2 linked regions of the Lonchura striata genome follow. The protein of the gene in region 1 purifies or fractionates together with the protein of each later gene. This does not show direct contact. Links are inferred from orthologs where the notes say so. Each region holds a gene or a part of one and is shown on either strand. Other genes may lie near its edges. The genes, in order: FLII and LRRFIP2.

Evidence for each region.
Region 2: the proteins of FLII (region 1) and LRRFIP2 purify together in Homo sapiens (affinity purification with mass spectrometry; 3 studies listed by BioGRID and IntAct, with this or other methods). This does not show direct contact. The link is inferred for Lonchura striata from reciprocal best matches to the Homo sapiens genes FLII and LRRFIP2.

The regions. Positions count from the first base shown.
Region 1 is NC_134618.1:15,738,906-15,753,711, forward strand, and holds the start of FLII (protein flightless-1 homolog), read right to left. Parts: upstream 5,962-14,806; 5' UTR 5,918-5,961; coding exon 5,855-5,917; intron 4,843-5,854; coding exon 4,732-4,842; intron 3,756-4,731; coding exon 3,684-3,755; intron 3,557-3,683; coding exon 3,476-3,556; intron 3,194-3,475; coding exon 3,108-3,193; intron 2,966-3,107; coding exon 2,804-2,965; intron 2,698-2,803; coding exon 2,594-2,697; intron 2,495-2,593; coding exon 2,319-2,494; intron 2,240-2,318; coding exon 2,082-2,239; intron 1,975-2,081; coding exon 1,890-1,974; intron 1,635-1,889; coding exon 1,487-1,634; intron 1,350-1,486; coding exon 1,216-1,349; intron 1,105-1,215; coding exon 892-1,104; intron 811-891; coding exon 631-810; intron 559-630; coding exon 476-558; intron 397-475; coding exon 322-396; intron 109-321; coding exon 25-108; intron 1-24. Other genes in the region: MIEF2 (mitochondrial dynamics protein MID49), read left to right, coding at 6,740-6,907, 7,351-7,528, 8,504-9,549; TOP3A (DNA topoisomerase 3-alpha), read right to left, coding at 12,604-12,779, 13,688-14,394, 14,637-14,759. UniProt on the Homo sapiens protein: Is a regulator of actin polymerization, required for proper myofibril organization and regulation of the length of sarcomeric thin filaments. It also plays a role in the assembly of cardiomyocyte cell adhesion complexes.
Region 2 is NC_134603.1:102,525,250-102,540,166, forward strand, and holds the start of LRRFIP2 (leucine-rich repeat flightless-interacting protein 2), read left to right. Parts: upstream 1-7,279; 5' UTR 7,280-7,643; intron 7,644-7,744; 5' UTR 7,745-7,887; intron 7,888-14,917. UniProt on the Homo sapiens protein: May function as activator of the canonical Wnt signaling pathway, in association with DVL3, upstream of CTNNB1/beta-catenin.

The sequences.
Region 1 (14,806 bases):
CCCCGGCACCCCCACCAGCCCTACCTGGCCTTGGTGGTGCTGCTCAGCGTGGCCTGGCTCCCACGCCACACCAGGAGGTTGAGGCCATGGTCCAGGAGGAAAACAAACCTGGAGGAGAGAGGTGAGAGGGGTCAGGAGAGAATGGGGAGTGCTGGGCATCCTCCCCATCCTGGGGATCCCTGCAGGGCACCAATGTTTGAACCCATGTTCTTGTAGAAAGGTGCTGGCATAGCCCATTTGCACCACAGAACTGCAGCTATAGTGTCTCAGGTGGATCCTGCTGAACTTTCTGTAAGGTCCCTCTGTCCCCTGGCCACTCACCGGGGGTCCAGTGATGTCCCTTTCAGTGCCACCGGCTCCAGCTTGACATTCTTCTTCCCATAGACACGGTAGAGCCTGGGGAAGGGACAGCCGTGGTGGGACATGGGGCACTGCCTGCTCCAATCATCGCCCCAGCCCCTGTCCCCAGCTGTACCTGGTGACGTACTGCGTGTCCTCTACGGTGAAGAAACCACTGGCTGTGCCACCCTCGATGTAGGAGATGTCATTGTCGAAGACCTGGGGGCATGGAGGGGTGAGGCTGGGACAGGAGGGGTCGGGGGTTACAGGGGAGCTGGGACTTGGCCTCACCTGAAGGAACTCTTCGCTTTCATCCCCCATCTCCTCCCGGATGCTGCGGCACTCAGCCCCCAGGTAGTTGCGGAGGTTGACGGCGTGGATGGCGGAACAGGCCTTCTTGTCCAGTGTGGCCTCCTGCCCGATCCAGTAGTAGATCTCCCAGTTCAGGGAACCGTTCTCATCCAGGAAGGTCTGGGAAGGACAAGGGTGTGAGATGGGATGGCTGCAGCTCCTGGCAGGGGATGCAGGGGACCTTTGGTCCTCCCGGGTTACCTTGAGCACGATGTAGCAGTCGGCTTCGTAGAACTTGCCGTGGAAAGCCTCGTCCACCAGCGTGGGCACGAAGTTCTCGATCTGCCAGACACAGAGGCCGGGCAGCTGCCCCACGTCCTCGCTGAAGAACTCCGAGTAGTCCAGCTGTGGCTTCTCCAGGCCCTGGTCCCAGCGCCGTGTCTTCAGATCCGGCGCCTTCGCCTCCCCACTCTCCTGTGGGACAGGAACAGGTCAGATTAGGGACAACCAGAACCCAGCTGGCAGCCAAGGTAGGCCAGGGACACTGTGATGCCCTCAGGGCCCTTCTCCCACCCCAGACCCTACCTCTATCTTCTTATTCTTCTCCTGGGCCACATCCGACATCCCCTTCAGCACCTGCTTGGCCTGGTCATCCTGGGCAGAGTCCTTGCGCCGCCGGAGCCGCATCTTGCGGGCCAGCGGGTCCTTGGTGCCACTCCCTGGGGACACAGGGACGGGGTGAGAGGCGGCCACGCCGCCCGTGGGGCACCCCACGGAGCAGGGCTCACCCCCCAGCCTCTGCCAGGTCCGTGCCAGGGCAGGGAGGGACCGCGTGCCCCCCTCCCTGCACGCGTACCCGCGGCGGCAGCGGCGACGGTGGCGGGGGAGGCTCCGGCCAGGCGGAGCTGGTTCTGCAGGGAGAAGTCGATGTTGTACCACTCCGAGGAGCGATCCGCCGGCTTCGGGGGCATCACCAGGTTGGGGTTCTCGCGCACGTCCAGGATCTGCCAGGGAGGGCACAGAGACCTCGGTGAAGTTCGTGCTCACAGGGATATTTGGAATGTGGCATGGGATGGAGACCTGAGGGGATGTGGAGGGAATCCATGGCCTGCCTGGGCTGACATGTGGCAGATTGCAGGTACTGGCCCTGAGCTTCCCTGCCCTCACCTCATCCAGCCCACCCTACAGCCCTGGGGTCCCAGGGAGGTGCTGGGGCTGTGGTGGAGCCAGCCCAAGGCAGAGAAGCACTGGGTGCCCACCTCCACATCTGTCAGGAAGTGGATGGCCTCTGGCAGCGTCACCAGGCGGTTCTTGTTCAGCACCAACTTCCTCAGCTTGGAGCACCTGTGGGACGGCGATGCTGGTGACAGGCCAGCCCAGGGTGACCTGTGACCACAGAACCTCTGTGCTCCCTCCTGGGGACACAGCAGATCCAGTGGTGTGTTCCTTACCTGCACAGGCTCTCAGGGATGAGCTCCAGGTTGTTGTTGGCTGCCATGAACTCCTCAAGGTTGGTGAGCTTGCCAATGCCCGAGGGGATCCCATCAAAGTCCAGCTTGTTGGAGTTCAGGTACATCTTCTTCAGCTTGGTCAGCTTACAGATGGCTGACTGGGGAAGGGGGAGATGGTGGGGTGAGGGAGAACCATGGAACCACGAGCAGGGATGGCACAAAAGGGCAGGTACATACAGGTAAGGAGGTGAGCTGGTTGCGGGACAGGTTGAGGGTCTCCAGCTGGGTCCACTGGTCGATGCAGAGGGACAGTTCCGTGATCTGGTTGCTGCTGAGGTTGAGGCGCCGCAGGCTGCCCAGGGTGTAGAGACACTCAGGGACACGGCTGAGGTCATTGCAGGACAGGTCCACATCTGGGGACAGAAACAACGGGGTGACACCACCAGCCAGACCAACACTGGGGTTGGGAGAGCCCCTGGAGGGCTCTGTGGGGCTGGATGCCCCAGCCCTACCTGCCAGGTTCACCAGGGCCTCGAGGCTGGTGGGCAGGTTGCTCTGCGTGCGCTGGGTGTTGCGGAGGTGGAGGGTCTGCAGGGCCGTCATGGCCGGGAGCTGCCTGAGGACCAGGGAGAGCCACAGGGCAGAGGGAGTGTCAGGATGGAGCAGGGAGCTCAGTGCCAGCCCTGCCAGGCTGGGAGGCAGCCCGGGGAGCGGGGCCGTACCGCAGCTGCGCATGCAGGAGGGGGTTGTTGTTGAGGATGAGGGTCTGCAGGTGCACCAGGCGCCTCATCTGTGGTGGGAGACTCTCCAGCTTGTTGTCGCTCAGGTCCAGGTAGAGCAGGTCCGTCAGGTTGATGAAGAGCTGGTTGGGGATGGTGTCGATGCTGCAGGGATGTGGGGAAATTCAGGAGTGCCTAGGATCTGCACCAGCCCCGGATCTCCCTCGAGGAGGGGCAGAGAACAGGACCCAGAGCAAAATGTGGCCATGGCCAGGATGGGGAGATGGTTATTCTAGCCTGAACCCACCTGTTGTGGCCAAGGTTAAGGACCAGCATGTTCTTGGCATTCTCCAGCTCCCTGGGACACTCTGTGAGCTGGTTGTAGCTCAGGTCCTGGGAAAGGGGGAGCACAAAGCAGTTGTCACCCAGCCACCACCACCCACACCTCCAGGGAGCTGGACCAGCACACAGGGAACCCAGGGAGCCCTTCCATGGCATCAGCCTTTAAAGGAGACATTGCCAGAGGGTCACCCTGCCGACAGCCAGCTTCCCTGGAGCTCAGCCATGGGCTTGCGACTGCTGCTCCCAAGGAACACAAGGAGCCACCACGGTGCAGCAAAGGGACCCAGGAGTCTGAGCTGGCTCCTGTATAAGCTGAGAAGAATCTGCACCCACCAGCACCGAGAGGTCATCCAGCTGGAAAATGTCATCAGGGACTCCCGAGTTCTTCAGGCTGTTTGCACGAGCCACAATTGCCTGCAGAGGGGAGAGAGGCAGGAATGCAGCTGCCTGCGGAGCCCCCAGGGTGCCCAGGTATGATCTTGGTGTGCCCTCAGATCCCAGAGGTGCCTGGGGACCCCTGAGGCAGGAGGGGGACACTCACCCGGAGGCAGGGCAGGCCGGAGAGCTCTCCATGGAGCGTGGTGAGGCTGTTGTGGCTCACGGAGAGGTGTTCCTGCAGGGAAGTCCCAGACAAGCCCCAGTGAGCAGAGAGAGGAGCTGGGGCTGTGCAGGGCAAAGGCTGTGCCCCAACATTGATGTGGAGGCTCCTCCATCCCAGGAGAGTTGGGGACTTGTCACCCACAGAGCTGCTGGGACACTCCCAGTCTCAAACTGGTTGGTTGGCCCAGTGTGCCTGCGCTGCCTCCACATCCCTCATCCCCTGCACACCTCAGCCCTGCCGTGGGGTTTGGGGTGCTCTGGGATGCCCACACAAACAGATCCCAGTCCTTGGGAACGGGCAGACGTGGGCACTGCTGGGGTGGGAGGAATTCCCCTGGGGAAATGTTTTCCTCTGAGCATCACCAGCCCGGCTGTTGCCTGCTCAGGAACACACGGCATTGGCAGGCTGTGGGTGGGATGCCAGGATTTCAGTCTTGCTGTGGCCCCCGAGCACCTGGCAGGGCTGGCAGGAGTGGCACTGAGGGATTCCCTGGCAGCGATTAAAGCACTCAGTTTGTGTGACACGGACAGGATGAGGTCCCTGATGTGCTGTGGACACCACCAAAGCCAAGCTGAGCCTTGACTCCAGCAAGGGCCTGGGTGAACCACCCGAAAAACAAAGCCAGACAGCTGCCAGCTCCTGCTTTTTACATACTTTAGCAAAGAAGAAGGAAAAAAAGCCCCCAAACCCTTGATTGTCCCCACTGTAACCATCACCCTTCCCTTCTACTACAGGGTAGAGGATCTAAGCGTGGTTTTTAATCTGGTTTTCTAGGAAAACAAGGTGAAACTGAGAGCAAGCCCACTCCAAACCCACTCCTGACAGCTCCTGCATCCCATTTCAACCACACATTGCAGCTCAGTGCTATTATTAGACACTGGAGCACCCGCTGCTGAGCCACGAGGCTGGCAGGGAACAGGCTCCCGTGGGATCCTACGGTCCCAGCGGGATAGGGGAGCCCCATTCCATCCCAGAACACGGGGCTCACCAGCTTCTGGAGGGCAGCGAGCTCCTCGGGCAGGTAACAGAGCCCCGTGCGGTTCAGCTTCAGCCAGCGCAGGCTGGTCATCGCCTTCACATGCTCCGGGAAGTACCCGCCCTGCGAGGAGGAGGAGGAGGAAGAGGGTGAGGAAACACCTGTCCCACGGGATGAGGATCTGGGGACCTCAGTCTGATTGAGGCTCTGTGGTCATGGGAGGTCTGGGATCGTGCAGTCCTATGGGCTGGAAAGTGTGGGGTCACGATGACCCAGTCCTAAGGGACTGGGAGCTGTGGGGTTGGGATGAAGCAGTCCCATAAAATTGGGAATTAGAGGGCTGGGATCACCCCGTCCTAGGGGCCTGGGAGCTGGGGGCCATGGAAACCCAGTCCTACGGGACTGGGAGCTGGGATCGCCCGGTCCTATGGGAGCGGGAGCTGGGATCGCCCAGTTCTACGGAACCGGGAGCTGGGATCGCCCAGTCCTACGGGAGCGGGAGCTGGGATCGCCCAGTCCTATGGGATTGGGACGGATCACCCAGTCCTACAGGATCGGGAGCTGGGATCGCCCAGTCCTATGGGACTGGGACGGATCGCCCAGTCCGATGGGATCGGGAGCTGAGATCGCCCAGTTCTACGGGACCGGGAGCTGGGATCGCCCAGTTCTACGGGACCGGGAGCTGAGATCGCCCAGTTCTACGGGACCGGGAGCTGGGATCGCCCGGTCCTACGGGATCGGGAGCTGGGATCGCTCAGTTCTACGGGATCGGGAGCTGGGATCGCTCAGTTCTACGGGATCGGGAGCTGGGATCGCTCAGTTCTACGGGACCGGGAGCTGGGATCGCCCGGTCCTATGGGACCGGGAGCTGGAGGCTCGGGGATCTCCGATCTCCCTGGGACCCCCTGGGCTGAGGGCCGGGTTGCTCAACCCCAGCGGTTCGATGTGGGTCAGGGATCGCCCCCGCAGCGCCCACAGCGCCGGGACCGGGACTGCCCCAGGTCACCCACCCCGGGCGGGGCCGGGGCCGGGCTTCCCCTGCCCCGGGGGCCGAGCCAGGCCTGACAACCCCGCGGGGCCCGGGCCCGCTGGGGCGCTGCGGGCCGGGCTGTGCCCCGCTCCCGCCGCCCCGCACCTTGAAGTCGTTGCCGCTGAGATCGACGCCGCGGACGAAGGGCAGGACGCCGGTGGCCGCCATGGCGGAAGCGCGGGGGGCGGCGCGCGGTGCCGCGCCCCGCCAGGCCCCGCCCGCGCCCGCCCCGGCCGTGACGCGCGCGGCGCCTGGCGCCACTTCCGCGCGCTGTGGGCGGGGCCGCGCCGCCGCGCGCTCCCATTGGCCGGGGCCGCGGCGGGAGCGCGCGCGGAGCGCGGCGCGGGGGCGCGCGCGGGCAGCGCCGGGCCCGGCCCGGCCCGGTCCGGTCCCGGTTCTGGTTCTGGTGCCGGTGCCGGTCCCGGTGCTGGTTCTGGTTCTGGTGCCGCCTCCCCTCCGTCAGTAGGGTCGGGGGGGGGCTCCCTTCCCGCGGGCCGCGGTATCGCCCCGGTGCCCCGCGAGGCTTTGCGGTAGGGCTGGGTGAGGAGCGGGTGTCCCTTCCTTCCCCGGGATGTTTCCTTCCCCGGGGTGTCCCTCCCTTCCCCGCGGTGTCCCTTCCCTTCGGTGTCCGTCCTTTCCTTCCCCGGGGGTGTCCCTTCCTTCCCTGGGTGTCCCTTCCCTTCGGTGTCCCTTCTTCCCTGCGGTGTCCCTCCCTCCTTGCGGTGTCCCTTCCCTGGGGTGTCCGTCCCTTTTTTCCCGGGGGTGTCCCTTCCCCGGGTGTCCCTCCCCGGGGTGTCCCTTCCCCCGGTGACCCTTGCTCCCTCGCCGCACCCAGCCGTCCCGCCGCCGCCGGCGGGAGCCTTTATCCCGGAGGAGAGCGGGCCGGCGGAACCCTTTGTTCCCCAAACCATCCCACCCTGCGGCTGTGCCTGTCCCGGGGTGACAGGTCCCCCAGCCCGGGGTGACTCTCCTGTTCTCCGCAGGGCGACCATGGCGGCGTTTTGGCAGCAGCGGGGCCGGCGGCAGGAGAGCGGCGGGCTGGGCGCTGTCCTCGACGGGCTGGGCAGCGTGTTCGATGTGCTGCTGGCCAACGCCAGGCTGGTGCTGGGCGTCAGCGGCGCGGCCGTGCTGGCCATCGCCACGCTGGCTGTCAAGAGGGTAAGGCTGGGTCTGGGAATAGAGCACCAGGAGATGCTCAGGAGGGCTGGGTTGGTTCCAGTGTGGTGGGGCAAGATGTGTCCCAAATTCTTTATGTTCTCTCCTGAGCTGGTTCCTTGCACGTGGCACAAATGCCACGGGTGCTGGAAGCAGTGCCGTGGACATGGAGCTGCCTGCTTCCATCCTGTGGGACCATGTATGCATGTTCTGTTTGCCTGGAGCATTTTGCATACAGTATCCCATCCCAAAAGGCACCTGGGACCTAAATTGTATTTGGGAATCTGTTTTCCATGTAAAACCTGCAGGAAGATGATGTGCACACTCATGGCCCCCAAAACTGGGTGTTTTTCTGAGCAGAAGCCTTGAGTGGGGCTGTCGCCTCACCTGTAATTCATGGAAAACAAAGATAACATCTTGTCCTCTTGGCTTTTCCTTCCCTCCAGCTGATCGACCGAGCCACCAGCCCTCGGGATGAGGGCGACCCCAAAGCTGAGCAGAAATCCCTGGAGGAGAGCTGGCAGGACTTGGCATTGATCAAGACAACACCAAAACCCCCCAAGAAGCAGAGAAGGGAAGATCTCAGTGAGCCTCTGCTCTCTCCAGCTCGGCCTCTGGTGCCAGGTGAGGTTCCTGGTGCCCAGGAGGATCACCTTGGTGTGCTCCGGGAGCTCCACGTTATTTTTAGCTCGCTGTCGGAAAGCCGAGCCCACTGAGCCTGCCCTGCTGGGAGGCTCCCAAGCCACGGCCCCTTTTTAGGCAATGCCAGCGGAAACAGGACCTCTGGTGACATCCGGAGTGGCCTGGCAGAGGGTGTTGGGGTTTGTTTCCTCTGGAGCAGCGTTGGCTGTGCTAGTTTTCTGGGTCAGCTGTGCCTGCAGGAAGGTGTGCTCAGGAGCTGCTGCAAACAAAGGCTGCCTTGTCCAGCTGCCCATGGAGATGGAGCTTTTCCAAGTGGGAAACTGGCCCAGTTCAGTCCAGGGCATGTCCTGAGATAATGGACCCAGAGCAGGATTGTCTGTAGGATCCTCATGCGAGGGGCAGGCACTGATCTCTCTGGTGACCACTGACAGGACATGAGGGAACAGCAGCAGCTGTGTCAGGGAGGGTTTAGGTTGGATATTAGGAAAAAGATTCTTCCCCCAGAGGGTGCTGGGCACTGCCCAGGCTCCCCAGGGAATGGTTGTGCCCCCAAGGCTGCCAGAGCTGCAGGAGCATTTGGACACTGCTCTCAGGCACAGGGTGGGATTGTTGGGGTGTCTGTGCAGGGCCAGGAGTTGGACTGGATGATTTTCGTGGGTCCTTTCCAACTCAGTGTATTCTGTGGTTCTCTGACCCTGGCAGCAAGTCCCTTGCCTGGTTCCCATCTCTGGCTGAGGAGTGAGGCTGGGAACAGCCAGATTTGGGGTTGGTTTGGGCTCTGCATGGCTGAGAAGTGCTGTTAACATCAGTGAGCTCAATGGGGGCCCTTGCTGAGGTCGGTGTCACCTCCAGAGGGGTGGGCTGAGAGCTGGGCACCCAACTCATGCCTTCCCCTCTGCTGCTGAGGCTTTCAGATGATGTGCTCAGAGCTGTGACTTCTCCTTTCCCTTCCCACAGATCCCAGGGGCTTCTCTGCCTCTCTGGGGGCTCCTCAGGTCAAGCCCAGCCCCCTGCGCTGTCTCACGCTGCAGGAGAAGCTCCTCTCACACAGCAGCCAGCTGGCCGTGCCCGAGATCCAAGTGTCCCTCGTCCCACAGCTGGCCAGGAGCATCTGCACCCAGCTGCAGAACTTCCTGAGGAGCAAGTGCCCGGAGCTGCCCTTTGGCCGCCTCTTCCTCAGCGGAGCCCTGCTCGATGGCCTCGAGGTCCTGGCAGCTGACCACATCCACCTCATGCTCCCGGTGGTCCTCGACGCCGGGCTCTGGAGCCTCATCTCGGGAGAGGACACCGTGGTGAGGAGCCCCCAGTACTGGATGATCAAGAGGATCGATCTGGGCTACTTCCCTCGTGGGTGCAGCCCCTGGGACAGGTTCATGGTGGGCCGGTACCTCTCGTCCAGCGTGATCAACGAGACCCTCCACAAGCTGCTGGTGGCCTCCATCAACTGGCCTGCCATCGGTGGCCTGCTGGGCTGTGCCATCCACCCTGTGGTGGCCTCCCGGGAGCTGAAGCTGGAAGTCAAACATGATCAGGTTGATCTGAGCATCACCCTCTTCCCAGTGGTGGAAATGGAGGACAAGGTTCTTCTGGCTGTTCCTCCTGAAGGACTGGTGGAAAACCTCTGGCTGGAGAGTTTTTACAGGGCGGAGGTCTCGAGGGTGAAGGAGCTGGACGCTGGTGACGCCGGGGCTCGGCAGCTCTGCCTGCGCATCCTCAACAGCATCTGCAAGAGCCAGCCCAGCCTGCACAAACTGGGGGGCAGCCCCATGGCCCATGTCATCCTGCACCTCAGTGACACTGCTGTGGACTGGGCAGAGGAGAGCCTTGCTGACAGGTTCCAGCAGCTGCTTGAGGAGCTGGTGGCTTCCCTGGAGAAAGGAGTCCTGCCTTGCTATTTCAACCCCAAAATCAACCTGTTCTCCAGGCTGTTGGAAGAGGAAATTGATGAGATGGGCTTTGTGCTCTACAGGGCCATATCTGAGCCAGAGGTCCTGCTGAAGTGACCGGTGTGTTGGGAGCTCCTGAACGTGGGGGGGTTGCTCCCTGCCTGCTGCTCCCCGCTGTGAGGGCTGTGATGCTTCTAGTTGACTAGTCAGTAAGAGGCAAAGTTCTTGCACTTTATGAGGAAAAAACCGGTTTCCTGTGTGAATAAAGCGTGCCTGAGCAGAGGTGGGTGCTGGCAGAAGGAGCCTTGGGCTCAGAGGCTCTGCTGAACCCGGGCTGAGGGCAGCCCACGCCACACGTGTGAGTTCTGTCTGCTGGGAGCCCAGTGAAGCATGTTTGGTCTCTGGCTCCCAGTGTCTTCTGCCTATCCCAGCTGTCAGGTTGCCCCTCAGGCTCTGAGAGTAGCTGGAGAGGAGCAGCCCCTTCCTGCTGCTGTGTCCTGCAGAGCCCTCAGGTGCCACGTCCTGGGCTGGTCCTGTCACCAGCACCCTGCGTGGCCTCGCTGTGCCAGCACTTGGGGCAGGGGGAGCCTCACCCACCCGCAGGATTTTGCCAATCCCAAATAAACCCTGTGGATGAGCTGGGTGCTGGGTGGTACAGCCATAGCAAATGGGGGATGGGGGTTATTCCTTGGAAACCCTTCCAGAAGGGGCAAGCTCAGCCCTACCTCTTTGTTCTGACAGTGTTGATGCTGCCCCGAAGAAGGGGCCCTTGTCCCATGCAGTGTTTTCCTGGAAGATGTCCTGAAAAGGAGCTGCTGGCTCTGGGGAAGCTCCTGGTTTTTCAGCTGGAGGCTGCAGCAGGGCTGTTTCCCCTCCCCAGTGGGTGGGTGGCTGCCAGTGTCTGTCTGCAGGTACCTGTCCCCTCCCAGTCTGTCTGGTCACCTTTTCACACTTGTATTGCTGCTGTCTTGAGGTCCTTTTGCCCTGCAGCCCCACGGAATGGGGTGGGGAAGCAGGGTAGGAATGATGTTGTGAGCAGAGTGCTTGCAAGAACTGAAGCGGTTTATGCTTTTTATTAAGAAGATATATTTTGTTTGGGTATTTTGTTGTTTTCTTTTCCTTTGAGTGGCTGCTAGTAGGGTTTGGTCTGGCTCTAGTCCCAGAGAAAAGCAATTTATTCTTATATTTAATGGGAAGAGCTGGTTTTGCACGCGGGTGGAGCTGGAGTAATTCTGTGGACTTCACTGTGAGCAGCTGTTGTGGTTTAGTTTTCTTTACAGCTATCATCTTGTTTATGGGAGGAAAAAAACCTGCTTTTCCTCCCAGTCTGACAATTCCTTTGTTCCTCCAAACCACTTCCCAGGTGTTATGATGAGAATAAACCTTCCCTGTGCACACTGGTTCTCTGGTGTCAGCTCTCCTTTGTCTCTTTCCCCTGCTAAGGGTTGAAATGACTCCCAGCTGTGTGGCCTTCCTGGGAACCACCTAAGGTGTGTCCCTGCTGCCTGGAGAGCTTGGTGATGGTCAGATCCCACCCTGCAAAGTCTTCCTCCTCCTCTTCCAAAGCCGTGGACCCACAGAGTGCCTGGCTGCAGTGTGGGAGCTGTCTGGGCACTGACCTTGTACCGCTGACAGGGCTCTGCTGAGCGTTGAGCAGGGTGTGACTCCTCAAGCTGGTCCAGGCTGATCCACCAGCAGGGTTTTAACCTGCTCCCTGTGTCCTGCACAGCTGCTTCCCACTGCTGCTGCCATTCCAAGGTGGCTGGCCAGGCTGCTGCCCTGCCTTGGCTCAGTGGCTGCATTCCAAAGCCCTGTAATGCTGTTATTTTAGCCCAGGCTGTGTATTTTTAGGCCCCGGCTGTTAATGGTGGGAGTGAGGGCTACAGGGAAATGCAACCCAAATTCTCCTGACTTTCTGCATGGATTTAGGCCTGGTAGCAATGGACTGCTGCAGGGTTTCTGGCTCTCTTTCTGGCCTGTGCTGCTGTGGGCTCTGCTTCCAAGTGCTCCAGCCCATCCCTGCTCAGTGCTGACCCCAGGAACTGCTCCGTGCCCAGGGGCAGGACCCTGAGCAGCCCTGGAGCTCCTGGCAGCAGAGCACACGGGAATCCTGCAGCTCTCCCTCCTTTGATCAATAGAGGAAACCCCAACAGAGAGGGGAGAGGCAGCCTGGCTTCCCAGGGAGTTCAGTCTGAACTCAGAACAGGGAAAACAGAACTTCTCTTCAGCTCAGCCAGCTCTGTCTGTCTGTCCCAAGTCAGCAGATGCAGCTGGTGAGATAAAAACCACTTTTCCCATCTCTTTGTAGCTCACTTCTAAATTGCTGTGGGGAGTTTCTGCCAAGAAAGCTCCTCTATTGTTCCAGTGGTTGGAAAGAGCAAGATTTGGCTGGATGCTTTTACAGTAGAAGCTTCACTATTTTATGTAGGAGGAAAATTAGGCAGATTTAAGGTGTCACTGCATCAAATTTAAAATTTAAATAATATTTTAATAAGAAACTCAGTGGTTTGACAAAAATAACTTTCATCAGCTAGCAGCATCACAAAGGCATGTCTCCAGGTTTGAGGAAGAACCTGCCTTCAAATTCAGGAACCATCTAAAATGAGGGCTTTTCCTGAGCACTGCAGCTGAGCTTCTCCCAGGGCTCAGATCCAGCTCCTCTGCACCTGACCCTCCTTCACTGGCAGGAACAACCCAGGTAAGGGTGACAAAAAAGGGGAATGTTGCTCAGGTAACATCAACTGAGAAGGGAACTTAAATTCCACACTGTGGAAAGCCAGGGACTGAGCAGAGCTTGGCAGCCCTGGTGTCTGTCCTGGTGGCCCTGATCCAGCTCTTCCCTGTGTGGAAAGGCCAAGAACAGCCACCAGGATGGTGCAGGGGGATGTTGCAGTGCAGTTTCCTCCACAGCTTCCAAGTGCTTCCTTGAAATGTTCAGAGTTTCCCAATCTGCTCAGCAGAAGAGCAGCTGGAAACAAAAATTGGTAGTGGAACCACTTTTTCAAGCTGGTTGAACCCTTCCTGAAACAAATGGCATGCCTTGGCAGGAGCAGCCTGCAACCAGCCCCTCCAAAAAGCACTCAAGGGACTTGTTCCCAGAGTCCAGTTCCTTGTGGCTCCTGCAGAGCTGACAAGCCTGGTCCTTGCAGGCTCTCAGAGGTCCATCCCAGCTCAGTGGTTCTGAGGGCAGGTTTTCCTTGTGTGCCCAGGCTGGTGGCAAATGCTGCAGGTCCGTGGCTTCTTGGCAGCAGATGCTGAGAGATTGCCTGGTCTCTTGGCCTTGCTTCCCAACCCTCTGGAGAATCCATTGCTGCCAAAGTGGTTCAAAGAGTCATCTCCAGAAGGGCCTAGAGATAAACAAGCTGAATTTAAGGATCTTTGAAAACATGAATAGGTGAGAAACACAAGGTAAGTTCAAAATAGATCAAAGATTCTCAGATTATTCCTGAACCTGCATTGCTTCAAACTTGTCTGAACAGTGAAGTGTTACCCATTTGTCTTGCAGCATTAGAGACATGTGGGAGCAGCACAGGGGAAGCAGCTAATCTGCCTGCTTGCATGCTCTGCTCTGCAGCTGAAGCAGAGAAGAACTTGGCAGAGAAGAACTTGGGGTTTAAGTAGTTTAGAAAACTCGATTTTACCCCTTTAGGCCCAAATGTCTGAGGAGGAGGATCTCTCACAGACCACATCTTCCCCTCTGTACCTGGATATGTCTCTTTTTGTCAGTTCTCTCTCTTTTGCACTCTTGTTTTGTCATTATTTTTTTTTTCAGAATCTTTCCACACAGTTTCATCTCTGATCAAAGCTCCAGAATGATTTGCCCTTTCCCTGTACCCCTAAACTAAGGCAGAGGTAGAAGCACAGTTTCCCTGCCATGCCAGGTGGGTTTGAATGTCTGCAGAGAGGGACACTCTATCACCTCCCTGGGCAGTTGTTCCAGAGCTCTGCCACCCTTAAGGTAAGTAAGTTCTTCCTCATGTAGAGGTCAAACTTCTTGTGTTTTAGTTTCTGGCCATTGCTCCTCATCCTGTCACTGGGCACCACCAAAAAAAGCCTGGCACCACCCTTCCCTGAGATATTCACATGCATTAATGAGATCCCCTGTCAGTCTTCTCTTCTCTAGACTAAACAGGCCCAGCCCCCTCAGTCTTTCACCATCTTTGTGGCCTCCACGGGACCCTGTCCAGCAGCTCCTTGTTTTGCTGAGCTCAAGAACAGCCTGCAGCCCTGGCGTGTGCCCCCAGCCCGGCCGTACCTGGTGCCACGTTCTCATCTGCCCACTGGAAGAAGCCGCACTGCTGCTCCCGGGGCTTGGGGCAGGTGTGGAACTGCCGCCCCTTGTTGGGCCCGTCCTTCTGCACGGTGCGCGTCACCGCGGGCTGCTCGCACCGGCACACCGCGCCGCCTCCGGCCTCCGAGCTGCTGCTGCTGCTGCCCAAGGGCTCCCTCCCTCCTCCTGCCCGCTGCAATCCCGCTGGGGCTCTTCCAGCAGTGGGCTGGAGCGGCGTGGAGCTGCCTCTGTCCTGCTCGTCAGCCCAGAGGAAGAAGTTGCAGGTGCTGGAGCTGCACTTGTAGAACTGGCGGCCCTTGTTGGGGCCGTCCTTGCGCACGGTCAGCAGCAGCGCCTCGCTCCCACAGTTGCACACCACAGCGTTCCCGTCGTCTGGAGCAGCTGGAGGAGCAGCCCTGGGGGTCCTGGAGGAGTTGATGGAGAGCAGGTGTCCCCGTGCCAGGTTTGAGGCCCCCCTGGCTTGCCTGGTCTCACTGCTGGCTCTGTTCAGGGAGTGGTTGGCCTGCAGGTGATGCCCTGGCTGGGAGGTGGATGACGCAGGCTGGGATGATCTGTGCAAGTACTTGAGGTCTAAAAGCTCTTTCAGCATCTCATCACAGCCTCCAATGCAGCCAACGAACTCCAAGGGCATCACAGGGGGAACGCTGCCTTTCTTGAATTTAAACTTCAGTCTGCAAGGAAAGGAAGAGTCAAAGCCTGCCAGTTTCTCATCAACAGACCACAATTTATACTTGAACTTCTATTTATTCTTTTGATTCTGCTATATGGAGGAGTTTCCCCAACCCCTCTTCTTTTCACCCCCAAGCCAAGTGCTGCTCTAGCTTTCCAAGACTGGGATGGAAAATGGTTGCCCAGCCTAGCTCATGGAAGTCTCTGCCCCACTGTCCAACAAGGGATAACTAGCACGACCTACCTGTGAACTGGATGGGGTTGACACACATCACAGATGCTCTCATCCCTGGTCACATCCACCACAAAATCAGGGAACCAGACTGCAGTTTTACAGGCTGGATAGCCCATGCAGCTGAGGTAGAACCTGCCGAGGGACAAAGGCACTGGATGAGGAAGATGCAAACTCCATGG
Region 2 (14,917 bases), on another chromosome or scaffold:
TACATGTTTACTCACACAACACAGTCACTGCTTTTAAGTTTTACAAGCTCAACAAAATATGCAAAAGCAAGTGATTTATTCTTTGTGGCTTGTACACCATCAGTAAAATCAATTAACGTTTATACAACCTCTCTTCAGGATATATAGAACATATAGAATAGATAGAATGGACTTCTAGATTGAGTTTTCAAGAAGGATCTTAGCATAGGAAATTATCAGCATTTCTATATAGATCAAACAGAACATAAGACATCTAGAAGTATGTCTATCAGGTCTGTAAGGATGATGACACTTGGATCTCTGGCTGGAATGGAAAAGCTTTATGTGAAAATTAAATATACTGCTATGTATTGTATAAACATCTCCAAATTTTATAATAAAAATTTAATTTTAGAAATAGTATTTTAGAATATTGTTTCATATTTTTTTTTACTAACAAAAAAAATCTTCATCCACAAAACTTGTGTCCTAGATTGCAAGGCAAGATGTTTGCCTTCTGCAAGATATCTGCCATCTGTTAGAGTTGTGGAAGATATCTTCTGTTAATTGGGCAGTTTTCTTTATCTCTTCCACCAACCAATCCTCCCTCCGGGGAGACATCTGCTGTTAATGGCCTATTGAATGTCGCTGCATGACTGATAAAAGTTACAGCATCCCATTGTGAGATGCTCTGCCCAGAGGGAGGAGCCAAGCATTACTAACTGGATATAATCTGAGTTTTTGGGACAGTAGATTTGCCTTTCCACTAGATTCCCAGAGGAACAGCTGGGTCTTTCCATTGGACCTTCGGAGCAAGACTACACCCTTCTACAGGATCACTGCTCCAACAGAACCACACCTGCCACTTCAGGAGGACTGCAGCCATTCCAATTTGGACTGCTACCTACCCCAACCAAAAGGCTGTCAGGTTGTATTCTGACTCTGTCTGTGGTTTTCCTTTTGAATTATTGCATGTATTCTGTTTGTTTTTTTTTTTTTCCTAATAAAATGTAGTTCCGATTTGGATTTTCTCACTGTTTTTGCTTTCAAACCAGAGTACCTTGTTATGATATTTCATAATTTACCTTCATCTAAATGGGATGATCAAAATAATGCATCTTCCCTGTAATTCTTAAGAAGAAGTTGATGTTGGAACACTTTTCAGAAACTCCAGTGCTTAAAATTGTACTATATAACCATGATGTTGGATGTTAGGATTTTTTTTCTTTCTTTTTTGTTTCAAGGAATTTTCTCACATTTGTTGCCTAAGAGAAGATAACAACGGTACTTAAGAGAGACAAAAGATGTAGCCAGCAAGGAGGAGGAAGAGTGCAGTGTGCTATGAGCTGGGGGGGCTTTCTCTTTGGAAGTGCAGAGATACCATGAGATTTTGGCTGAGGGATGAGGGCTCAGCTCCTCACTCTCTATCACTCTCAAGACTGGAGGAGGAGATGGTGCTGTTGCTGCTGTGGGGAGAATTCCCTGCCACTGCAGAGTTCTGTCCTTTACTGCTTCTTCCTTATCATGAGTGAGCCTTTGGTCATAAGAGCGGCCATTGAACTGAGACCTCACCATCTACCCAGGTGTTCCAGAAGAAAACCTAAGACCCCAATCCCTTCCCCTCCTCTACTAAGGGAGTATCTTATGGCTGTTGGTGGGAGCCCAGCTGCTGCTGTCCAGTCTCGCTCTTTTCTTTTGCTGCTTTGGGTTTTTTGCTACTCTTTAATTTGAGACGCCATGTCTTTTCAACCCCACATGGCTTCTGCTATGGCTGCAGAGTTTCTGCTACATTTTGTTTGCTATCCCAGGATCTGCTCGCCTCTGCCATTCCAGCTTGCTGCTCTGAGGTTCCTGCTACAGCCCATTTTGCCATCTGGATGGACACTGGGACCACCTGTTTCCCATGAGTTTGTAAGGAAGCCCCTTTTCTATCTCTTCCCGCAGCAATGCTGCCATTAAACAGTCGAGAGGCAGCTGGGCTTATGTGCAGCAACCCATGTAGTAACAGGGGAATTATCACACCAGCAGTGCCAGGCCAGGAGCCAACAGCACTGGCTGTGACCATAACTACACCAAAGGGGCAAGTGCCACAGCTGAGAAACCTATTTAAGCCTCTTAAATAGGTTTCTGTTCTTCTGTTTGGTGCTGTTTGTTTGCCTTGTTTTATATATATATATATACATATATATATATATATATACACAGACACACTAGTAAAGAACTGTTATTCCTTTTCCCATAGTTTTGCCTGACAGCCTGTAATGTCAAAGTTATAATAATTTGGAGGGAAGAGTGTCAAAAATAGGTTAGAAACTGTTGTAAAATAGTTTATAATTGTTAAATATGCACTGTTAAAAAGTTTGGTTATTATGTTGTAAAAGAGGTTAAAAGGATAGTTATAAGAAATATAGTACTGAATGTCCCGTATTACACCTAAGTAAAGTGCACCAACCCCCTCCCCAAGCCAAAATGAGCCAGCCTGGATGGAAGTGTAAGGGCCAATCAAGCACCTTAACCTTCACGCAAATGAAGGATCCCAACAGAAACCAATCCAAAGGAACAAGAAACACTCTAAAAGGGGGCATCTGAGCCAGTGAGACTGTGCCACTCCACCCAAAACATCGGGAACATCACTGCTCAAGAAAGGAAGAAGATCCAGTGCCGGCGCTGCAGCATCCTTGATGGGAACGCCCCTGCTCGACCTGCAGGGCCCCTAAGCTTTAGGCCTTATAAAAAATGCTGAAATCAGTTAAATACTGGGAGTGTGTTCCCATTTATAACAAGGGGGTCACATTTTCTTTTCCAAGGGAGATTCCCACCTTCCTTGGCAGACACCTGTCTTTCAAAATAAGACTCATGGATACTGATCCACAGCAATTAAAAAAAAATCTTCCTATAAACACATTCTAAACATAAATCACATTATTCTAGTGCTTACCTTGTTTCTGAAAGATTTAAAATACTCCAAATACAGAAATAAACCAATACACGCACACAAAAATTACCAAAACAGTGAAAATCTAGAATATCGAGAACATTGTTCTCAATTGTTTGGTTAATTAAATAATCTGTGTTTAAATGGAAATTTTCTAAAAAAGGTTGCATTTACTTAGTTGTCTAGATTTTTTTGGAAAACATTGGAATACAAATTTTTTAGTTACCTCTACCCACAGCTATTCAACAGGCAGCCTAATTCTTTTCCTGCTGAGGATGCAATGGATTGGAACTGAATGGAAACTCATGCAGTTCTACTGCTAGAGAACACCAAACCCCATCAAAATGCATATATAATGTACATAATTCCTACTGTATCCTACAGATTTTTCCAGTGCTAAAGAAAATGAGGTAAAAGGAAAAACTAAATCTCACTCATTCTGCAGTACCTAGAACTTCATTGTTTATAATAACAGCTGTGAAATGTGTGTATGTCCACAAAAAACAGCTGGGAATTCTGAATGCCTGTTTTTTTTCCACAACTTGGTGAATGTTATATGTATGCAAAAACTGTAAAGTCTGACAGTAGTCCCTCTACATTCCAATAAATTCTGTGGAAGATTCAAAAGATTTTGTAGAGATATTCTAATAATTTCTGAGTTAAAAAAATGGTGGAGAGAAGATCACATACAAAAGGTCACATAAAAAAAGGCATTTTTTGTGTTTCTTTTCCTCTTGAAATTTGAAAAAAACATATCAATGCTGGGATTGAAAACACTGATTTAATATGTATTTGTGGCTATATATGATGACAGAAATGTATCTTTAGTAGAAATTAAACTCTTAACAAAAGGCGATGGAGGGCAAGACTGAAAGGGCTTGGCAGAAGCTCCTGTACGCACATCCAATAATTGTTTTGAAAAGCAAAACAAATAAAAAAGCAAGACTTGCTCCCTACATTACAAAAGCAGTTTACACTTAATTTCCAGTGTAGACACAAAAAGTTGATTTTCCACCTGTCACAGGGGAGTATTATAACGTAGCAATGAGAAACAAAGACACACGGACCCCCTTGTGCATACAAAGGAAATCACTTGATTGTAGAAAACACCTCCCTTATATACCTTTAGCTTCCACCGGACATAACCAAAACTTAACAGAAGAAGGGCATCTATTGGCTGCTCAACTGCAATGCTGCTGTCCATGCATCTCACCACCCACCTGTCCATGTGTCTATCCCCCCCCGCAATTGACTTCTAACCACCCAGCCTGCTGCTGTGCCCTCCTACAGGCCTTTCTGGTAAACAGAACCATTATCACCTTTTAACAAACACAATACCCCACATTATAACACCCTTTTTGTGGGGAAGGGTGAACAAGCTAACAATACAGAGAATCTCCAAAAGAGGATCTACGACAGCTCGGGAGGAAAAAGAAAAAAATAAAGTTTGTTCAATTGTGTCAAATGAATTGCTGAGTGATGGCATCTGAACTGAGGAGATGGAAACTACTGGAAAGGAAGGACACAAAATGGAAATGACAGAAACAATTTGATGAGGTTGTTAGAATTTCTTTAAATGCTCTTATATAAATGAGTCTTCTTCAGTAAACCAATCTGCCAGTTAAATTAATACCTGGAAGTTATTCTTTCCACAAAGGGATGAGTGGGAGAGAGAAGAATAGAGAGGACACAGAAAGGAAAATAGATTGTCATCAAGCATTAAGTTATGCTATGATCCTATATGTGTGCAACACTATTACATTTTTAATCAGAAAGTGCAATAATCATGAAACAAAAGATTAAAGGGAAAATTAGAAATGCTAAAGTGTGGGACCAACAAAACAGATATTCAGAACTGCACAAATAGAAAACATTGCAGAGGTAAATATGTTTATTCTCTCATAGAAGTTGTTACAGTGACAAAATCTTTTAAAACTGCACACATATTATTATAGAAAATTGACATAGTTCAAAGTATTCCATTTAACTGATTTACAGATTCATCCTAGAAATAATTTCTTAGGTGATAATCACTCTGAAAAGGACTAAGTAAGAGTCCACCCATAGAACACCTTAATTGTGCTAAACAGTTTTAGAGACAGATTTCCAGAGAAATGGGAGACAGTAAATCAGCAAGTTCAATTACATATGATAAGGGATCTATATTAATCTACTGTATAAAACAACAACAGTGAAGAAAAAAAATATTCAAAGACAGATCCAGTGATACTTAATTTATTCCTTTACTTATTTTTAGCTGAAATTCACTATTAATAGAGCAAGCTTTATCCTAGCTTCAGTAACAATTTAATCAAGGCATATTCATAACTGATTCTTTTGTAACTGAGCCATTACATAGCAAAAATTCAAACATAACTTTCACTTTCTGGCTTCTAATTGAAGATTTATAATGAAACTGTATATAACACGTTTAGCAATTAATTTAAAATGCTGAACTCAGAATTGCTACTGTGCCATCCTGTACCACTGCCTGTTTTAACTGCACTGTACACTGCTTTTCAGTCAAGCAAACAATTGCTCTTTCAAGTGACAAAAATGCATGCCTGCTCTCAAGGAGATATACATTTTACTGCATCATTAAAGAAAAATGTGCAGTCTGTGATATCAAAAGACTAGCAGTATGAAAAAAAATCAACACTTAATTGTAGAAGAATGTACAAATGATCAAAAAAAAATTCTCTTTAACAGGAATAAATTAATAGAGATCCCAAAAAGACCTGGGACATGCCACATTTCAGAACGCTCTACACAAACCCTCTACTCAAGAATGAATAAAAGACTCCTCCCACCAGCTAGGGCAAACCAAAACAGCCCAAGATGTTTTTAATGATGATTCTTCACAAAGCCCAGAAAATCAGCAGGTGTGTCTTTCTGCAAGAATAAATATAAAATAAAAACTAAGGTTTTAAGCCAATACCTTTTTTCATCTTTTCTATAGATGGTCTATGAGAAACTTTTTACTTCACCTTCCTCCAGCGAGATCATCCTCTATTACTACAGAAATTAATGTGATGTTAAAAATAAGGATGGTGAGGCTATACTGTATGATCAGATGAGGAAAAAAGACTGAGAGAGTGTAGATTTTCTCATACAGATAATTATAAAATACTAATGAAACACAAGAAATATATTATACATCTCCTTTGATAGATTTAAATAATTTGTATATCCCTTTTTCCTTACTTTGTGCATATCCACTGAAGCTTATTTTAGTAAGACATTTGAACTCCATCTGGTGCATGTTTTTTAGTCTTACCACCATGCTTGTCATTTTAACAGTGCTTTTTCATTTCCATGTGATTTCCAACATACAAAATGCCATCTCCTCTAATTATCTCTACACTCTTAAGACACCCTGCATTTAACTACAGAGGTGTTGGAAAGCAAATTACTACCCGTGTGATCCCAAGTCTATCTCACAGCAGAATCTCATCAATTTTCATGACTGTCTGTGTATAAACCGCAATATATCTGATGGTACAATAATTTCTTTTTCACTTGTATTTTATCCTTGGGGATTATGCCGGCTACTTGTATATAAATTTTGATATTACAGAAGTCTGGTCGTGTTTAGCGAAGATGCCAATGTCCACGAACGATTTTTACTCAATAAACCTTGTCCGGCACCCATCCAGCAAATCTTCCGAAACGCTCTTGTGCCATGTGCAGGCGGTGGGAGCTGGGCACACGACCGAGCACGGCGACTCCCCGCAGCCCGCCGCGGCTGATGCAGGCGAGACGCGCCGCCGTTCCAGCGGCGGCCACGGTCTCCCGGAGCTCTCGCACGGCCGCTCCCTGGGGAAGGCCGAGCAATAAAAACAAGCCCCAGCCGAACCCGGGAACGAAGCACAAGGCAGGCGGTCTCAGACCCGCCACAGCACTGAGTGAGCCAGCCTGCCCGGTGATAAGGGGGGGCGAGGCGGAGAGCGCGCACTGCAGTACGACACGCTACAGACAACGACCCCCTCCCTTCGCTGCCTGCTGAGGAAAGGAGAAGCGGGCGCTGCTCCTTCCGATCGCCTCCTCGCCTTCCCTAGGCTGAAAGGCCGCCACAGGACGCAGTCACTGACGCCGACCCGGAACTCCCGCAGCCCATCAGCCGCCAGGGCCATGGCAGCGGGACCGGGCGGGGCGCGGCACCGCCCAGCTCGGCTGGCTCACCGCGGCGCCGCCCAGCTCGGCTCACCGCGGCGCCGCCCAGCTCGGCCGGCTCCCCGCGGCGCCGCCCAGCTCGGCCGGCTCCCCGCGGCGCCGCCCAGCGCGGCTCCCCGCGGCGCCGCCCAGCGCGGCTCCCCGCGGCGCCGCAGCCGCGCCCGCTCTGCGCACGCGGGCCTCCCGCCCTCTCCTCCGCAGCGCCTGCGCGCTGCGCCCCCGGCCTGTGCGGGGGCCGGGCCAGTGCGGTGCTGCCGGTGCCAGCGTGGGTCTCGGTGTCTACCGCAGTCTGGCTGTCGGGCTTTCGCTTTCTCTCCCTCTGCTCAGCGCCGGCCCCTTCTTCCTTCCGCAGGGCCCTGCAGGCGGTTTGAAATTTGCCGCAGTCTCTCACTCGAGTTCTCGATGTGGCCGTAAGCGCCTGGCGCTGAAGGGGAGGAGGCAAGCGCGCGGGGCGGGGAAGAGAAGGGCGGCCTGGAGCGGAGCGGCTTTTCTGCCTGCAGCTCGGGTTCCCCGGCCCCTCACGGGAACGGGGGTAGGGGACGGTGGAGAGCGTCAGGTGAGGCAGCAGGTCCCTTGTCGCGGCCCGTGGGCGGTCCGCGTCTGACGGGCACTGTGGTTGCCCTGGGGCGGCTTCTGCCAGCATTCCCCTATCTCCAGGCGTAGGGAGAGAGGCAAGGAAGGAGCCTGAAGTGATTCCGGGATCTGCGAGCCCCCCACACCCCTGGAAGTGGCGGAGGGAAGAGTGAAACAATTCCCGTCCCTCCTGGAGCGTCCCGGTTCTGCGGCAGGCTGGCCCGCAGGTAAGGCTCTGTGGGGCCCAGGCAGGGTCAGGGCGAGGGCCGGGAGGAGGAAGGTGTCACGGACACAAAACGCGGGGACGAAGCGGGGCGGGAACCCGGTTCTTCAGGTTTGGAGGAGCGGCTCAGCCGGAACTCGTCGGTCAGGTCGGCGAGCAGCCGCAGGAGCTCGGGGCGGCAGCGTGCGGCCCCTTCCGTGCGGGCGGACCGGGGGCAGCCGAGCCCGGCCCGGCCCGAGCCCTTCGGGCGGCTGCTGCGGCTCGCCGGGCGCGATCCCTCCTCCGATCCCCGGGAAGCTCCGTGCGCCCCTTGGGGGCTGAGTGGAAACGGCGGAATGAGGGAAAAAGGAGTATGTGCAGAAATCACAGCTGTGTGTATTCCGGTGCCTTTTTCTCTCCTACTTCCTCGGAGCACTTACGGCGGCTTCGCTGTTCCCGGAACAGTAGGGCGTGCCCCCTCTGCAGCGAGCTGCGCACGGAGTCGGTCACTCTTGCTGATGCTTAGTCCTTTGGTTTTTTAAAATTTATTTTGGAGCACGCTGTTTTATTTTTAGCATACCCTATTGCGATAATTGTAAATAACGTTGTTGAGGATGATAAGAGTGATGAGCACATTCATGAGTTTGGAAGGAGCCCAAAAGCAGCTCCGGACTGTGGTCTGCTCAATGTGTTATAAGTGATTTTCAGTTTGAATCCTAGCGTGACTCTTTGAAGGGCAGTGTTGTGAATTTCACTGATAATAAAAATATTTTGTAGATGAAGTAGTGCTGTTATATTATATACTCAGTGATTTTCTCATTTTAGACAGAGCTACAGGCATTTTTTGCTTGAAATTAGGAAGGTCTAGGATCAATTTTCTCCCTTCAAAATATCATTATTAGGGTGAAACATCTTTAGAGATGCGAGGTGAGAGGTTTGCTACAAAGTATAATATTAAATCAGTGTTTGTCTGAGCTCTTTAAATGCTCATTGTGTCTTGATTGTGAAATGATATATTTAAATGTATGGTGGCCCAGAAACAGTTACCCTCTTAATATACATCTGCTTCCTCGATTAATGTAATTGCTTAGTGATGATGTAAGAATAGATAAAAGATGCCTTAGCAGTACAAAATTGTTTGACGTACATGACATAATTTTCCTATTGTTTTCTGTTACTTTGATTTGGAGGTATTTAGCTTATTGTGAAGTCAGTCTTACCTGAACTGAATTCTTGGCTGTAACTGGAAACGTGTGAATAGAAGATGGTTGTGTGAAATGTGTCAGGTGTAGCTTGTTGACCTAAACACCAGTATTTCACATGAATTGACTCCAGAGGAGCTTTTTTTAAAGTCTCATTCTCTCAGAAGTTGGCATAGTACTTTAATACATGTAAGCTTTCAGAAAGTGCTGGTTAGACTCTGTGTAGTGAGGATCTGTAGAGCTTATTAAGGTCTAGATTTTCACATAGCACACAAGTTGGCATGTGCATATACCAAAAAACCACTTAGATCAGTATCATACATAATTGAATAGCTCTGGTACATAATGTAAGCAGAGGCTAAGAAATAACTAACAGATTTGATACTGTGTTGTTGTTTGTAAGATCCTAATGTGAAAATGTATGGTGATAGTAATGTATCAGTCCAGTAGCATTACAAAAAATGCTAAAAGTACATTTTGAGACAGTAATTAGATTTTCTTAATATCTGGAAACTAGGTAACATGTAATTGTATGTAAAGGACAGTTTGTGTTTATGCATTACATGCTCTGCAAGATAGTTTATGTAAGTAATACTGTTTGCTTGTGAAGGTGATATTAAAGTTCACATTTCCTTGAGCTAAGATAGCAGTATTAGGTCTGCTTTAAGGAAAGAGGTGACGGGGTATTTACAGAAGAAAGGTCAGGTGGACATAGGTGTTTCTAAGCCTACCAACTCTGATACCATAACAGAGAACTAGTCAGTAGGAATGATGTCAGCTGATAGTTTCCTCCAACTGCTGTTTCTTCTAAGAGGTACCCAGGACAATTTTTTTTCACTTGCTGCAGTAGCTCTTCTTCGTTGTACTGTAACCATAGCATGAGTAGGAAAGAGTGTAGGAGTCTATTAAATTGATGGGGGAAAAATATTTTAAATAGTTGCATCTTATTACAGAATGTGGGTTGTTACCATGGGGCACTCCATTTCATTAAAAAAAAAAAAAGTGGAGCTTCAGTATAGCAACAGTGTTTGGTTTTTTAATGAGCAATGAATCATTCTTTTGCAAAATGACAGAAAGGGTACTAATTTTGAATAAGCTGATAGTATAAAAACAATGCTTGCTTCATTTTAGAGTAAACACTTCTGGATCCTTGTGGGGTTTTTTTTTATTTTGTGTTTTCATTTTTTTTCTTTTATTGTGCTGATTTTAGTACTGTCACCCCCTTATGTTTTAAAGTTCCATTTGAATTCTTAGTTTGTTCCTGGATCTTCAGCATTTGTAGTAGCACTGATTCTAGAAAAGTCAATCTGTGTTAGGCTGCTTTTCTGAAAGTTATGTATGTTTTATATTGTGCCCTGAGAGATCCTCTGGCGAGTCACCATTATAAGAGCTTTCCAGATGCTGCCTGTAACTGATGATAATATTGTGTATGTAATATACTTTTTGCAGTAATGGTATATCCAGTTGCAGCTGTTGGCAACTGACTGGCAGAGAACTCATACTTCATAAAACAAGTTGCCACCACTTAAAATTGCAAGATGTTGTTTTGGAATTTTGGTAATTTGCAAAGACTGGTGAAGGTCACCAAAGATAGCTTGGTAGGTCTGGAGGCGTCTCGTAGTTCTACAGGGCTGTAGGATGCTTTTAGTACATTGACTGTCTTGCAATGCTTTATGTGTGCCAATGCTAGTCAGGCACTGTTACACTTCATGGGTTCATCAGGCACTTGCAGACTCTTGCAAGCTGCATGATGGCTTTTTGATTGTTTTAACTGGGGACTTTCTGTTGGTCTCTAACTTCCTAACACCAACAAACTGAGGGATTTCAACTCCCTCTAAGGAATTGTAATTCTATTGCTAAATGAACTCTTAAGAAATTGTATTTCTCAGATTTTAAAACAGCAAATAAACTGCAAATACATTGCATTAAGGGGGTGAATTATGCAGTTGTCTAAAGAGTAAGTTTTTTTCCTGAAAAAGCTAACGTAAGCCTGTCCACTCAGAGCAGAAACTTTATGCTAACACTTTTTGAAGTGGGCCATGATTAGAGATGAACAGGTTCTTAAAACAGAAACACTATTCATCAGCTGGAATAACTTTGCCTCCAAGATAGTGGTAAGCACTGTAATGTTTTGGCAGATTGTAATTATATGTTTTTCTCAGTCTTTGCATTTTCTCTTTAATGTTAGCCTCTTTCACTCATAGTAGCAGCTCTTTTGTGGTAATAGTTCTTAGGTTATTCTGAATGAAAATTTCAAATGAGTCCTTTTAAGGACTCATTATCACTTTAAAACTCAGTCTATTTCTTTCTCAGTGCATTAAAACCTAATGTATTTCTATCTCTTCCTACATGTCCCTTTGTTGGGTCATGGTCACCCTGTGATCCTGCAGCCCTTTTTCTTGCATGGGTGGTTTTGGACCTATGAGCAAACATTAATTGCAAAAAGAGTACCCTTGTATGGGGTCTTTCTTCTGAAGAAGACTCTTACATCTGTCTTGCATAATTTAAAATTTTTCTATGTCTATTTACTTTGTCTCCTTTGAAGTTTACTTAGACAAAGATTGAAGATCGAGCAACAAGATTGTGGTTGCCAATATGATTATGCTCCTTCTCAATTATGAATGCAACTGTTGTAGTACTAATACTTTTGCATTCATATTCTGTTTCTGAAAGACATTAGTTCTAGAGAAGTGTCATTCTTTGTTGTTGAATCTATTATACAGAGATGGTGTCTACACGGGTGAATTTTACTGATCTTGGAAAAAAGGGGAATTTTGGTCTGTTATTTATAGCCTGTTCACACTAAGGTATCTGGATCCTATGTATGTAATGCCAAATATGCTGGCATACACCCAGGAAGGCAGTGAGTGATAGGCCCTGAACTTGTAGTGTAGCTTATTTTTTTCCTCTAAGACAAATCAGACTTTTTTCTGGTAAGTAAAAAAGAAACAAGGAGAACCTTTAGTCAGAAGGTGATATGAAGAAGACTAGACAGCAAAGACTTGTGGAAGAGATAAAATGTATACATGCCGGAAGTGAAGACAAATGAGAGGGCATTTGACAGATTTTGTCATAGGTCTTCTGTTTTGTTTGGGGACTTCAGACACTTCTGTGTTTTGGAATGAAACGCAACAGGATGTGACTTCATCAGTTGTGTAATACAATGTGTTACCATGCCTATAGAATTAGGCATGAAATGGGCATGCCTCAAGAATTTTTAACTGTAAATGCAGCAGATATTATAGTGTTCTTTCCTTTTGTATCTATCTTTCTAAACCATAAAATAACAATAGCAAACTGTTCTTTGTCTGGTTTTGTCTTGGTTATATTTGTCTCTTTAGTTATTTTTTATGAAAATTCTAATGTGACAGCATGTTTTAAATTCTTTATCTCATCCTGCAGCAAAATTCTTTATCCCATTGAATCATTAAAACTGAAACTAGTTAAAGTCAGAAAGTGGTATGTTCATTATGCTGGCAGGTGGCACGGGGGAGGGGGGGAGGGTCATCCCCTAAATGTGTAACTGCATCACACAAGGATTTTTGCTTTCTATTTATTTCCCATAATAATGCATATGCATCACCCCAGCACATCCCATCCTCACTTTGTATTAAAATGAGGTTATTAGTACTTCATACATGTGCAATTCTGTTCTTGAATTGGGTCAGTGGTCCCAGGGATGAAGTCAGGAAGGTCTTTGCCAGGTCTCTGTTACCCTCTGCCATGGTCTGAAGCCCCCTGCTTCATGATGGATTAACGTAGAGTCCAGGTGCTGGGCATTGTTCTACTGTTTTCAATATGTTCCTATAATGGTTCACTTGCTCCACTTCCTTCTATAAATGAGTTCATAATATAACAATTAGCTTTAGCTTAAGCATCTAATAATCATTAACCTATCATTGGTGTATCTAACTTCAATATAAATTGGTTCTAACCCTCAGCTAAAATCTTAATTTTTTAAAATCATCATGTACCATGCAGGAAAATAACTTTTTGTGTAGTCAGAAAGTTATTGAAGTGAAACATCCCAGAAGTATTTCTGCATGTATGTGAAGTATTGATATCTTATATTTTCCTGAGAAGTAACATAATGATATTTATAGTATTAGACTAATCAGCATATTAGCAATATGTCTAGGTTTCTGTAGTACTGAACTTTGTAACAAGAAATTAAATACTCTGACATACATCAGCCTAATTAAAAGTTAAATGGAATGGAAGAAATTGTGACAAGACCCTTGAAGAAATATTAAAACAGCTAATTAAAGAAAGCATATATGGAGGTTTAGTTTCAAAATTGAGAACAATAATAAGTGTAGAACCGTATATTTTCTTTTAGGAAGATTCTTTGGAGGTCACCCTTTGCCTAAAGTATTGTGAATTAGAAAAGGTTTTCCAGAGCCTTGTCTAGTTAAGCTTTTACCATCTTCAGGGATGGACATTTCACAGCCTCTCTAGGCTGGTGTTTAACTGTTCTTTTCTTCAACTTCAGGGTCCCCTATTTGCACATGATTTCTGCTGGAGATGTGGACACTCCAAGTTGTGTATATCTGTGCTGTTCTCTAATATGTGCTGTGCTATGTCCTAATGAATATGCCAGTGAGAGCATACCTAACAAGCTCACATTCACACACTTAAGATGTGTGCTGACGCTCCCTGTACTGACCACCTGCTAGCAGGAGTTCAGGATCTTGTATCCACTAGGAGGGATGCTGCATTGGTTTAGCCTGGACAGATATCATACAATCAGTTGGGGGACTTCTGACAGCATCAAACTGGGGTTTGACTGATCATGTTATCCCTCCAAAGTTACTACTACTGTCACTGTTGATTTTGGTTTTATTTTCAAGAAGACTCCCTTACTTCAAACAAGTTCTTCTGTCTAATTTCGTAGTTTCTGTTTAATGTAACTGACAAGCCTCTTGCTCTGTAACATGACCACGTTTGGGCCTGTGCCCTGTCAGACATTGATCTGGTATCCTGTCATATTTGATTCACACACACAGATTCCCATCTTCACATTTGTTATTATCCAGACTGTTCTGCCAAGGGTGGGGCTTGGCAAGCACCCACCACTCTCACCTGTGTCACTAAACAGTGGCCCTAAAGTTTTCTTAGTCTTTCTTGTGTTCCTGATGTCCTTAGAATAGCCTTTCTCTTTGTCCTTATCAGCTTTTGCTAGTTTTGGCTGCAGTCGAGCTTTGATTTTCTTAATTCCTCCTTGTAGGCAAAGGCAACATCTCTGTATACCTTCTGGGTAATCTGTCATGTTCTCTCTTGTGTTTGGACTCAGTCAGGAGTTCTGTCCTTGTTCTAGGTGAGAAGTGTAGATTGCTGGCGAGGATGCCACATTTGCCTTCCTCCACAGTGACTGAGATGAAGTGTGTTTTCCTCATTTAAAGCATCAGTATCTAATTTTTATGAAATGACTACTCTGTAGATTAGTATGTCATGTAAACTGAATATAACTATAGTAAAATTACCTATATTTTAGCTATAAGCCATTACATTCCCCAAATCAGTGTGCCAGCTAAGAGCATTTCACTGAGTTAACAAACCAAAGTTTGTTGTCTATTAGAAATGGTGTGTTGTTTAAAGGATGTCAACAAATGCAGTTCAAGTCTATGGTATGTGCAGTTATTCTGCAGTTTTTACTTATGTGGTAAATACTTTTTAGAGAGATATAGCCTTTAATGTGTCAGTTAAAATAATTACATGCTTTGTGACTTTTAGTAGATTGACTTCTGTTCTTTTATGAACCTATTTATTGTAATAAACATTTAATGATTTTTCTTGTGGCTAGTGTGTAATGTTGTTAAAGCCTTCTGTAGTAGGGGTAGTATTATATTGTGT